Linked DNA regions of Macaca mulatta. The protein of the gene in region 2 interacts with the protein of the main gene of each other region in a biochemical or structural test. Links are inferred from orthologs where the notes say so. Each region holds a gene or a part of one and is shown on either strand. Other genes may lie near its edges.

Evidence for each region. The genes of interacting proteins can lie anywhere in the genome.
Region 1: the proteins of NXF1 (region 2) and NUP98 form a complex in vitro, tested with the Homo sapiens proteins (5 studies listed by BioGRID and IntAct). The link is inferred for Macaca mulatta from reciprocal best matches to the Homo sapiens genes NXF1 and NUP98.
Region 3: the proteins of NXF1 (region 2) and NUP62 form a complex in vitro, tested with the Homo sapiens proteins (3 studies listed by BioGRID and IntAct). The link is inferred for Macaca mulatta from reciprocal best matches to the Homo sapiens genes NXF1 and NUP62.

What each region holds. Positions count from the first base shown.
Region 1 is NC_133419.1:72,004,751-72,009,112, reverse strand, and holds the start of NUP98 (nuclear pore complex protein Nup98-Nup96), read right to left. Parts: upstream 2,907-4,362; 5' UTR 2,751-2,906; exon of another isoform or gene 2,701-2,750; intron 1-2,700. UniProt on the Homo sapiens protein: Plays a role in the nuclear pore complex (NPC) assembly and/or maintenance. NUP98 and NUP96 are involved in the bidirectional transport across the NPC. May anchor NUP153 and TPR to the NPC.
Region 2 is NC_133419.1:11,261,669-11,264,728, reverse strand, and holds part of NXF1 (nuclear RNA export factor 1), read right to left. Parts: intron 2,572-3,060; coding exon 2,464-2,571; intron 2,349-2,463; coding exon 2,290-2,348; intron 2,180-2,289; coding exon 2,064-2,179; exon of another isoform or gene 2,050-2,063; intron 1,941-2,049; coding exon 1,898-1,940; intron 1,059-1,897; exon of another isoform or gene 1,025-1,058; coding exon 952-1,024; intron 456-951; coding exon 273-455; exon of another isoform or gene 227-272; intron 1-226.
Region 3 is NC_133424.1:62,390,380-62,394,735, forward strand, and holds the start of NUP62 (nuclear pore glycoprotein p62), read right to left. Parts: upstream 2,907-4,356; 5' UTR 2,830-2,906; exon of another isoform or gene 2,708-2,829; intron 1,369-2,707; exon of another isoform or gene 1,257-1,368; intron 512-1,256; exon of another isoform or gene 367-511; intron 1-366. UniProt on the Homo sapiens protein: Essential component of the nuclear pore complex. The N-terminal is probably involved in nucleocytoplasmic transport.

The DNA.
Region 1 (4,362 bases), about 61 Mb from region 2:
GAGACAGGGCCTCACACGGTTTCCCAGGTTGGAACTGCAATCACAGCACTGCAGTTCCAACTCAATCTCCCGGGCTTGGCGATTCTCTGATTTCAGCCTACCGAGTAGTTCGAGTACAGGTGCAAGCCACCACACCTGGATAATTTTTGTATTTTTCAGAGACAGGGTTTCCCCATGTTGCCCAGGCTAGTCTTCAACTTCTGGGCTCAAGCAATCCACCTGCCTCGACCTTCAAGGTGCTGGGATTACAGGAGTGAGTCACCATGCTCGGCCAATACTTATCGTCAAATCTCTGAATTTCTTATTCCCCTAACCTTTCAACAAATTGCATAACTGCATATAGTCTCATTATTGGAAATTAAACATTTGTACCATCATTCTTTACTTTCCAGGTTAACTACCACCACATAAATCATATTACAAGAAAATAATAACTAATTTTTTCAAAGCTGTACATTTCGTTCCTTAAAAATTCTGCTTGCTCTATCTAGAACCTAGTAGACATAAACAAAGTCAGGTACCAGCTAGACGCAGTGGCTCATGCCTGTAATCTCAGCACTTTGGGAGGCTGAGGTGGGGGGCGGCTTGAGCCCAGGATTCAATACCAGCCTGGGCAACATAGCAAAACCCCGTCTCAACCAAAAAAATACAAAAAAAATTAGCTGGGTATGGTGGTGCACACCTGAGGTCCCAGCTACTTGGGAGGCTGAGGTGGGAGGACTGCTTGAGCCCAGGAGGTTGAGGCTGCTGTGAACCGAGACTGCACCACTGCACTCCAGCCTGGGTGACAGAGTGAGACCCTATCTCATTAAATAAACAAACAAATAAATGTCAGGTACCAAAGTATCCTATAACACATAAACAGCAAAAACCATCTTATCTGGGCCCCATATTTCAGGAGCCTCTCTCTATTGACTACTGCTAGGTAAAACTCCTCCATATTTGTCTATTCATTCAAGTAAACACACTTACTGAGGGCCTACTACATGGCAAGCAACTGGACAACAAAGATAAGATGAAAATATTTACCAGCCTAATAAAAAAACAGCTAAAATAAAAATATGTTCTATAAATACAAGTATCAAATAAGTGTTATGGAAGCTTGCAGAGGAGAGAATGCCAAGAACAGCTTCCCAGTAAAGGGTGATGCTTGAACTGAGAAAATGTCATGGAAAACATACCCTGTTCACACTTTACTATTTAGACTACGGTTCTCTTCTGCACTACTAGTTTTGAGTTTATGCTTTGTCATCTAAACAAGAGCAAAGTAACAATCTTACTGATACGAACAGAACCAAGTGTCAACTAATTCAATTTCATCAAATCTGAAGAGTCAAAAATAATAATTTTACCCAAGTATTTCCCAGTACCTTTATCCTGTCCAACCTCTAGTTTTGGTTTTTAAATACCCTAACTTCCTTCACCAGGTAAACATACTGTAACCCAGTTAACTCGAGTTTCTTCTTGAATTTTGTTTCTTCTTGAATTTATAAGACCGTCACAGGGAATGATCACGGCTCTTTTCTTTCTTTATTCCAGTTAGCTTCTTCCTCCAAAACGGAGTTTTATTTCCTCACCTTATTCTACTATAATACTTCACTTTGAATTCTGTACCTGAAAGGAGCCATGAGTTCCAAGGTACAACTACTACAAACGGACTCCTGCCTGGCTTTCTAAGTCTTGTCAATGAAAATTTCCTGCTTTCTACTCCAGTAGTTATAAATCCCTAACTGACTCCGAATCCTCATCAGCTGACACAAGTCAAAAAATTCAGATTTAGAAAGGGAAATAATGGCTTGTAGTTTTATCGATTTGTTTCCAATACATAACAACGATGACATTCTTTAACCATCTTCTAAGTTTAGTTCTCGAGGTCCAGGTTAGGGTACCACTAACAAAGCTTCCACCTTACCCGTGAACACAGCTGGTAGCAACTAAATGGAAAACGCTATGAAGACTACATCTACGTCTAACTACCTAACGTCCATGCCGCACCGACCTCCCATAGGGAATTCTTAATAATGGGAGACTGAAACATTCAGGGAGGGTGAGGTAGTAGAAAAATTTTTAGACTGTCAAAGATCCGGCATTGACTAATCCTACCTGTTACTCCGGGCCTCGATTTCCCCTATCTACAAAACTGAGGTAAGGTAGGGGGATTGACTCAATTTCTAAAGTCCTTATGGCTACAGTAATCCAGAAACTCAATCTTTCTCATCTGGCTTTACACTGAACACGTGGGAAAATAAAAGAACCTTTTGCTCCACCGAACCGACTCCTATTCTCAGATATTATCTTAAAAATCTCACAAACTTCAGACTCACCCTAATCCTCGGGGTGCCCATTTTCCTTATGGAGAAGCCAAGGCAAAATAAAGCCCAGTCCCACACGACGGTCAAGGAAGTGCGGGCAGACAGTATTCAGGGTCTCAAGGCGCTGACTCCGGAAAGGCCAGCCCACCGTGGGGTCCTTACACCACCGAATGAATGAGTACAACCAGACTCTCGTGGGCAGCAACCGGAGACCTCCAAGCCTAGACCCCACTGATGTTCATTTTCTCCCAGGGCCTCCAAAGCCGGACCTCCCGGGCTCCGGGTCCTGGGCCCCGCCCCTCTCTCAGGCCAGAAGGTGCGCGCCGCTGCGCGAGACTTCGGCGCGGAGAGGCCCTGGGACGCCCCGCGCGTCCGCCCGCCCGGAAGAGAGTAGAAGCCTGCCGGTCTCGGCCGCTGCAGCTCGGGCTCCCGACTTACCGCGGTTCGGTGGGGAAGGCGAAGTGTCAGGAGTCCCGGCCCAGGCCCGTCTGCCACCCGCCGCTCACAGAGCAGCGCGCGGCCCCCCACGAAACCGTCGCCGCCGCCGCTACCACCACTACTACCGACCGCCGCTTCGGGCGCAGCGCGCAGAAGGCCCGACTGCGTCACACGCCGCCGGGCGTCAGAGGCTCGTTGCGGGCGCTCCGCCCTCGCCGTCCGCACATTGGTGGTTGCTGCCGCCACTCTGGGTCGACCCTGTTATTCATTGGGCAACGCGTCTTTTGAATCCGAACGTGGGGGCGGTCTTCGGGGGGGGGAAGGGGCGAGAGGGAAGAGGAGGGGCACAAGGAGTTCGGGGAGGCACAGGGGTGGGGCGGTGAGAGGGCCGTGGAGTCCCGCCCCTCGCCGCCGCGGTTGGCGGGAGCGTGTCGTGACGTCACACAGGGCCTCTCGATGTGGGCTTGTGAATGGCTAGATTGGGAAGCACCGGCGGGGTGTCGGGAAGAGTGGTGACGCAACACAGAGACTCCGCCCCCTTCTTGGAGTGCAGCGACTTGGGCTGAGGGAGCTCGGGCCAATCAGAGGGACGGCCCCAGAATGGTATGGTAACTATTCGACCCCTTCCTTGCCCCGATCCGCGGGCGCTGCTGGGAAGGCTTCCTAGTCTGTCTGCCCGCACTTCCTGCCCAGACCACGTGCGGAGCCTGAGGGCCCTCTTGGGAGGTCTGTCTGTCCAAAGAGTTTGCCCGAGGCTGCTTCAGGGCCCTAGATGCTGACCCTATTCTCTCCTGACCCATGCTTGCCCCAGCGCATTCTTTCCCTCCTTGAATTTCTAGGATAGACATTAGGAGCATTAGAGATGCCCTAAGGGCCTGGCCCACCAAAAGGCCTGGTACAAATGAGGTTTGTTGGAACGTCTTTCCCGGTTGCACTTGGAGAACCCTTACCTTTTTTTTTTTTTTTTTTAATTTTAAGATGGAGTCTCGCGTTGTCGCCTAGGCTGGAGTCCGTTGGCGCAATCTTGGCTCACTGCAACCTCCGCCTCCCGGGTTCAAGCGGTTCTCCTGCCTTAGCCTCCCAAGTAGCTGGGATAACAGGCGCCCGCCACCAGGCCGAGCTAATTTTTGTATTTCTAGTAGAGACGGGGGTTTCACCGTTTTGGTCAGGCTGGTCTCGAACTCCTGACCTCAAGTGATCCACCCGCCTCGGCCTCCCAAAGTGCTGGGATTACAGGCGTGAGCCACCTCCCCCGTGAACTCCTACTTTTTTTTTTTTTTTTAAGATGGAGTCTTGCCCTGCCCCCTCTGTCTTCCAGGCTGGAGTGCAGTGGCGCTATCTCGGCTCACTGCAATCTCCGCCTCCCAGGTACAAGAGATTCTCCTGCCTTACCCTCCCGAGTAGCTGGGATAACAGGCACTCCCCGTGGCGCGCGGCTAATCTTTGCATTTTTAGTAGAGATGGGTTTGGCCAGGTTGGCCAGGCTGGTCTCGGACTCCAGAACTCAAGTGATCCGCCCGCCTCGGCCTCCCACAGTGCTGGCCTTACAGGCGTGAGCCACTGCTCCCAGCCGAACCCCTACTTATTCTTAAAGGACAGGTATTTCAAATGT
Region 2 (3,060 bases):
GCAGGACTCCATCTCAAAAAGAAAAAAAAAAGGTGGCACATGCCTATAGGCCCAGCTACTCTGGAGGCTGAGGTGGGAGGATAGCTTGTGCTCAGCAGTTAGAGGCTACAGTGAGTTATGATCACCACTACACTCAAGCCTGGATGACAGAGCAAGAACTTGTCTCTATAAAAAAAAACTAAAAACACACACAAAAAAACCATCAGGAGCTCTCATTATTTACTACTAGCCCTCCTTCAGTTCACCCCGTCCTACACATGCCCAGTACTCACTTCTGGGACCACTCGAGGTTCATGCCAGACTGGGTAGAGAATGCCTGCAACATTTCCTGCTGCTCTGGAGAGAGGGTGGGCACTGGGCTGGAGGAAGGCGTGGGCGCAGGCATAGCGAAGGCTCTTTGGATCTCTTCAGAACTGGCATTCCGCACAAATAGCTCGTCGTTTACAATGCATAGCCTTGAGGACAAAGAGCACTTAAAAAGCTAGACAGATAACGTCATCCTCCCATCATTCCTATTCTCTGATTCTTTCAATATCCACAAGGTCCCTCCCTCCCCCCTTAGCTATTGTTACCTTTTATCATTTATCCCCTCCCATGGAATCAATGTTTGGAAGGATTATCTACCAAACACACTAGAGTTCTCCCAACCCATGGACAGTTCTTAGCTCTTTTATTCATCCTCACGACAAACTTAGGCAGTGAATATTGTTAAATGAATTTTCAGATGAGGCAGCAGCCTACTTGCTGGAAGTGGTGGAGCCAGGATGAAAACCCAGACGGCACAATTCCAGAGCCAAGCTATTAACTAACTTGCTCTTAACTACTATGTGAGCTTTCCCTGATTTCCTGTTGCCTTTCTGAAATCACCCCAAAGACTGACTCTACCTTCCAATTACCACACTGTTGGCCATGATTAGGACTGGTATCCAATGTGAAAAGCAGAATACTTACCCTGAATTGCTAGCAGGAACAGCAATGAACGTCCGGGTGAAGGCTCGCAAAGAATCCCGGGACTTTCCGTCCACTGCAATGAGAACAGCAACGACACCTTAGGGTCACTAGTGCTTTATGTTTACAAACAGCTTCTTGAATCATGGTCTTCTTTGATACAAAGAATCCTAGCGGGTCAGAGAGGGATGATTAAGTATATAAGGGTATAAGGGAAGCAGAGGTGGGGTGAAAGGTCAGGTCAGAAAGGACAATAGTAATAACTACGGCCGGGCGTGGTGTCTCATGGTTATAATCCCAGCACTTTGGGAGACCAAGGCAGGTGGATCCCGTCCAACATGGCGAAACCCCGTCTGTACTAAAAATACAAAAATTAGCTGGGCGTGGTGGTGCGCGCCTATAGGCCCAGCTACTTGGGAGGCTGAGGCAGGAGAACCAGTTGAACCCAGGAGGCGGAGGTCGCAGTGAGCCAAGACTGCGCCACTGCGCTCCAGCCTGGTGACAGAGTGCGTGCGTGCGTCTCAAAAAAAAGTAATTACTACTAATCCACTGATAGCATCTGTGTGCCAGGCCCCAGGCCAAGCACTTTGTAAGTCACTTCAGTTACTTCCTATAGCACCACTATGAGATGGCTATTACTTAACCCCAACTTACAAATAAAGAATCTGTCTTAGAGGTAATGTTACTTGTCCGCAGCCCCACACAACCAAAACTGGGATGGAAACTAAGAACTGCCTGACTCCAAAGTCCTCCTAATCCCCAGGCTTTTCCCATAGCCAGAAAGGACAGGTGGAGAGGCAGGCCAAGCCAAGACGGCTTGGGTTCAGAATGGGAGAAGGAGCTCAAAAAGAAAATGGGAGAGAAAGTAGCTGGGAGGCTAAGAGTGCTGAGGAAAATTCCAGCTGGGGGTGGGACCATGCTACAAACTCAGGACTCCAGAGATTCTTACCTTCCTTGAAGACTCCATTGACAGAAAAACACAGCAGTGTACTCTGAAAGAGAAGCAGCATCGGGTACAATGTACACTTCTCAGAGCCTGAGTGCCCCCCCTTGTCTATTAAATGCCACCCCCACCCCAATTTTAGGCTTCTGTCAGGGCACCAACAGGAGCTTACTGTCTGGGCGCTTATGTCTACCACGAAGGAATTGACGTCATGCTGGGTTTTGGGCAACTCGTTGAGGAAGGCAACAACGTTGAGACGCGTGTGCTTCAGCAGCCGGAACCGCAAGGCTGTGGGTGGAGGAGAAAGCTCAGCGGTGCTGCCACATACTCCTGAGTTCTATGACTGATTCCTTCCCATGCCCTTTTCCCATCGTATTTTGTTCATATCACACACTTACTAGGGTCTTTAAGCTTCTTCACATTTCTGCTATCCTTGAAATACTCGGCCAAGCTGCTTCTGGGGGAATAAGAGGATTGGACGTGGTGTTCAGAGCAGTGCTGCCAGCAGGTGCTCCCTTGTATCTGCTGGGAAACCCAGTGGTCCCGGGGAGATTCTGGGATGTGATACTCACCGGGCAGGGTTCTGAGGAATGAAAGGAATGCTCAGGGAACAGCAGGCCCCATCATGGTAGGCATCCAGGAGCCCTTGCCGGTCTCCAGAGTCATAAATTGCATAGTACCTATGGGAAAATCAAAAGAGAAAGTATGAACTATGTGGTCTAGAGCCATAAAAGGACCCAGTAGCTCCCAAGAGTGAGTTGTGGCCGGGCATGGAGGCTCATGTCTGTAATCCCAGCACTTTGGGAGGCTGAGGCAGATGAACAGCTTTTGCCCAGGAGTTCAAGACCAGCCTGAGCAACATGGCAAAACCCTGTCTCTACTAAAAATACAAACAAAATGGCTGGGCGCGGTGGCTCATGACTCTAATCCCAACACTTTGGGAGGATAAGGCAGGCGGATCATGAGGTCAGGAGTTGGAGACTAGCCTGGCCAACACAGTGAAACCCCGTCTCTATGAAAAATACAAAAATTGGCCGGGCGCGGTGGCTCAAGCCTGTAATCCCAGCACTTTGGGAGGCCAAGACGGGCGGATCACAAGGTCAGGAAATCGAGACCATCCTGGCTAACATGGTGAAACCCCGTCTCTACTAAAAATACAAAAAAACTAG
Region 3 (4,356 bases), on a different chromosome or scaffold from region 2:
ATACTGTACTCCAGCCTGAGCGACAGAGCAGGACTCTGTCTCAAAACCAAACCAAACCAAACCCAGTTCCCAAGTACAAGCTAGAAGGTCTTCTTAGGAGAAGATTCTGCCGGTGGGGGGCTGGGGTAGGGCACGTCTCTGCGTCCTTACCACTGGCAGTCTGTCCAACAGTCTACCCTTAATTCCATCTGCTTTTGCTCAAAAACCTATACTGAGAAGTGGAAGGAAGTTGGACTTACTGCACAGCAATGGAATGAGAACACATCCACCTTAATTATAGCAGTAACAGTAACCACTTTTATGCAGCACCTACTGTGTCCCAGGCACTAGTCTAACTGCTCGACGCGGATTAACTCATTTAATCAGCCCTATGAGGCAGGCAGTTTTGTTTTTTTTGTTTTTTTTTTTTTTTTGAGACAGGGTCTCACTCTGTCACCCAGGCTGGAGTGTGGTGGCACAATCTCCGCTTACTGCAACCTCTGCCCCACCCCAGGGTTCAAGTGATCCTCCTGCCTTAGCCTCACAAGTAGCTGGGACCACAGGCACAAACCACCACACCCAGCTATTTTTTTGTATTTTCTGTAGAGACGGGGTTTCACCATGTTGCCCAGGCTGGTCTCGAATTCCTGAGCTCAAGCAATCTGCCCACTTCAGCCTCCCAGGGTGGTGGGATTACAGGCGTAAGCCACCGTGCCTGGCCCAGAGGCAGGTACTCTTAACACCACCTTGTACCACAGGGGAAACCGAGGCACCGGGAAGGGAAATGGCTACGGTCACACAGCTAATAAGAGGGGTGCAGTCAGGTTTTGAACTCATAAATCTGGCTCCAGAGTCTATGCCAAGGATGTATAAAATTTGGCTTCCTGGGGCTACATCGCAAGAATTGTCTTAGGCCACACATAAAATAACACTAATGATAGTTGATGAGCTCAAAAGGAAAAAAAAAAAACACTCGCAAAAAATTCGTATGGTTTAGGAAAGTTTACGAATTTGTATTAGGCTGCATTCAAAGCTATTCTGGGCCACATGCAGGCCCACGGATGGGACAAGCTCAGTTTATGCTCTTAGCTGCTACTCTGTATACTGTCTCAGTGATAACACAACCCCTACAAGCTCAAGGAAATATAGGGCAGGTGCTCAAAAGCTGGCAAAGTGGACAATAAGTGCTCTAAGGGAAGGTGGTCAGATCCCAAGAAGGGCTTCCTGCCCGCGACAAGTAAGGGAGGAGAAAGAAGCTTGTGTAAAACGCTCAATACCAGGATTCCTCCACCTTCTCTGGACCTTGATTCAGTCTCCTAACTGCCACAGAAGGGATGAAGGCTGAACTCCAGCTGGGATGTCCTGACGTGGATGGGACAAAGTGGGTTTCTGCAAGAGAGAAAAGACTGACATCCACCTCGGCTGGTGGAGGGCCCTGTGCATGAGAAGGGGCAAGATGGCTACCCTCTGACTAAAGGGAAACGGAGATCTTCCATTTTTGGCAGGGTTGGGAGATAGTTCCTATCCCGTGGAAGCTAAGGACTGTTTGAAAGGAAGCCAAGGGCAAGGGATGGAGAAAAGGACGCAGCTGGGGCCTCGATGTCTGAATCCCTGCCAGGGGATGGGGCCTGGGCACCCATCATTTGGAACGGAAGATGAGGATGGCCGGAAACAGACACTTCAGAGGAATGAGGGAGACAGAAGAACGACAGCAAGAGTTAGACAGTCCAACGTCTGCGGCTCTTGTAAGGGGGAAAGAAGAAGTGAGGCTGGGCCCCAATAAAATATGTTGAGGCCGGGCGCGGTGGCTCACGCCTGTAAGCCCAGCACTTTGGGAGGCCGAGGCGGGCCGATCATGAAGTCAGGAGATCGAGACCATCCTGGCTAACAAGGTGAAACCTCGTCTCTACTAAAAATACAAAAAATTAGCCGGGCGTGGTGGCGGGCGCCTGTAATCCTAGCTACTCTGGAGGCTGAGGCAGGAGAATGGCGTGAACTCGGCGGAGTTTGCAGTGAGCCGAGATCGCGCCACTGCACTCCAGCCTGGGCGACAGAGACCGAGAGACGTCATCTCACCAAAAAAAAAAAAAAAAAAAAAATTGAACAGGAACGTATGAGTTGAACTCTGTGCATAAGGCTTGCCAGACACCGTCTTGAGTTTCATAAACCCACCAGGAGAGCTGATTTTTCTTATTTTACGGATAGGGAAATGAAGCAAGAGAACTTAAGCTATTTGCCCGAGGCCATCCTGGTAGGTCTGTGTTTGGGAGAGTGCTGTGACTCACGCTGGACTCTAACCCACGAGGGTTTCTCGGGGTCAGCAGTTGGGGGATGAAAACATGAAAAGTGTGGCTGGCAGGAAATTCTGCAAGCAGGGAAAGGGAAACAGAAATTAAATGGTGCAGGTCTCCGGGAAGAGAATGAGACTGGATCCACAAAATCACAGGAGGAAGCAGGCCCAGACCTCACAGGCAGAAAAAGAAAGAAACCAGAGTTTAGGAGGAAACCAGACCCCGGAGCTACGAGAGGGCCGGATCCCTGGCTCAAAAGGGAGGAGGGGCCTGGACCCTAGGAGTGGGAAGGAAGAGGTCGGATCCCCTGATCCCCAGGAGGAGGGGACCGGGCTGCCACCCAGTTGGGGCCCCGCGAGGGCGGGGCGCGGAAGGATCCGGGCGGGCCATGCTGCGCCACCCGAAGTATTTCTGTCCCCAGTCCCCGGGGCCGCCTCATTCCCCGTCCTCAGATCACGGTCTCTTCTAACTACAGCGTTCTCCGCCTCCGCCTGCGTAGCCCCAGCCATGGCTCTGTAGCCTCGACCCCTTTGTGCCCCCAGCCCGACTCCGCGCTTACCACGCCTGCGCTCTCCGCTCCCACCTTCTTTCTTCAGCCGAGGCCGCCGCCGCCTCTCCTTTCTGCAGCCATGGAGTGAGTAACCGCTTACTTGTCCCTCTCCAACCGCCTTTCCCGCCCTTTCGCAGCTCGTGGCCCTCTTTAGGGAGCCCTGGGGGGAGGGGAGCTGCGAGCGGGGAATCACGGTCGCGCAGGCGCAGAAGAGGTACGGTGGGCCGAAGGCGCGCGGCTGCGCATGCGCACTGGGCCCGGAGCCGGGTGGGAGAGTTCTAGAGACTCGATGTTTGTCAGCCGGCGTGTGGCTGCGCCTGCGCACTCCAAGGGAGGGTGTGGTCTTTTTCTAAACGATTCTGTGCGTGCTTGGTTGTTCCTGCGCAGTAGCCTACCAGTGCCCCGTAATGAATGAGCGCGGGCCCTGAGTGTCCGCGCATGCGCACTGATCCCCAAGAAGGCGGAGGTGTAAAGCAATTGGACAGCTCGGAAGACGTAGCATGCGCTTTGGCCCTTGGCGCATAGCCGCGTGTGGACGGCTGGCGTTCGGGTAGCAGTTCTCTGCCTGCCCCCTCTACCCTCCTCCACCCTCCCTGCTCCACGTTGCTCTGGCTCACAGCCCAACTTCCTTCCTTTTAAACCAGGCACCTGCTGAGGCGGGGACTGGCTTAGATTGACAGGGGAGAAGGCGGGGCTTAGAGGCAGCCCTCTAAGTGGGTGGGGCTAGAACCACTGTCGTCACGATGGGTGGGATTTCGTGAGCCCATTGTGAGAAGGGGCGGGGCTAAGCCAACCTTTAGCTGAGGGGTGGGGCTTCGATGGGACAAAGAGGCGGGGCCTCTGGGGAATCGGAGAGGGGCGGAGCTAAATAAACAATGAGGGGCGGGGCTTGGAGGGACAGTGGCAAAGCGAGGAGTGGGATTTGAGTGGATAACATTGCTGAAGGGCTGGGGCCTGGGGCAGTTCCCCTGGGCACTGGTTTGGGATGGAAGCTAGGAAGGCAGTGGGGCCAAAAGGAAATATTTTAGGGCAAGGGGCGTGGCTGGAAGAAAATGTCCCTGGAATTGAGTTTTTCCATGAAGCGGAATATTCTGAGGTGGATGGGAGGGGCCTAAGGTAATTCCCCTGGGAGACCCTTAGGTTTCTGTATTGGGGGAAAGGGTGGGGCATCGGTCCTACCTTAGGACCTAAAGAAATTCCCTTGGGAGTGGGTGGGGCTCAGATTTGGGTAAAGAAAGGGCAAATTTAGAATTCGGAGAGGCTGAGGCTTAGTTATAAACTGTGGTTGGAAGGGGGAGGGAGGAGCCCCGTGGACGTGCCTGGGGGTGTGGCTTGGCTTCCCCATGATTTTGGCCGGTGGATGAGGCTTTCCTGACCCCACGACCCCACCCACTCTTGTCTCACACGTGTAGGTCTTCCACTTTCGCCTTGGTGCCTGTCTTCATCCAGCTGAGCATCCTCCAGAGCCTCGTCCCAGCTGCTGGTGCAGCCGCTCCTGTTGCCATCAGTGCCCTGCACCTGTGCTACAGCGCCCTG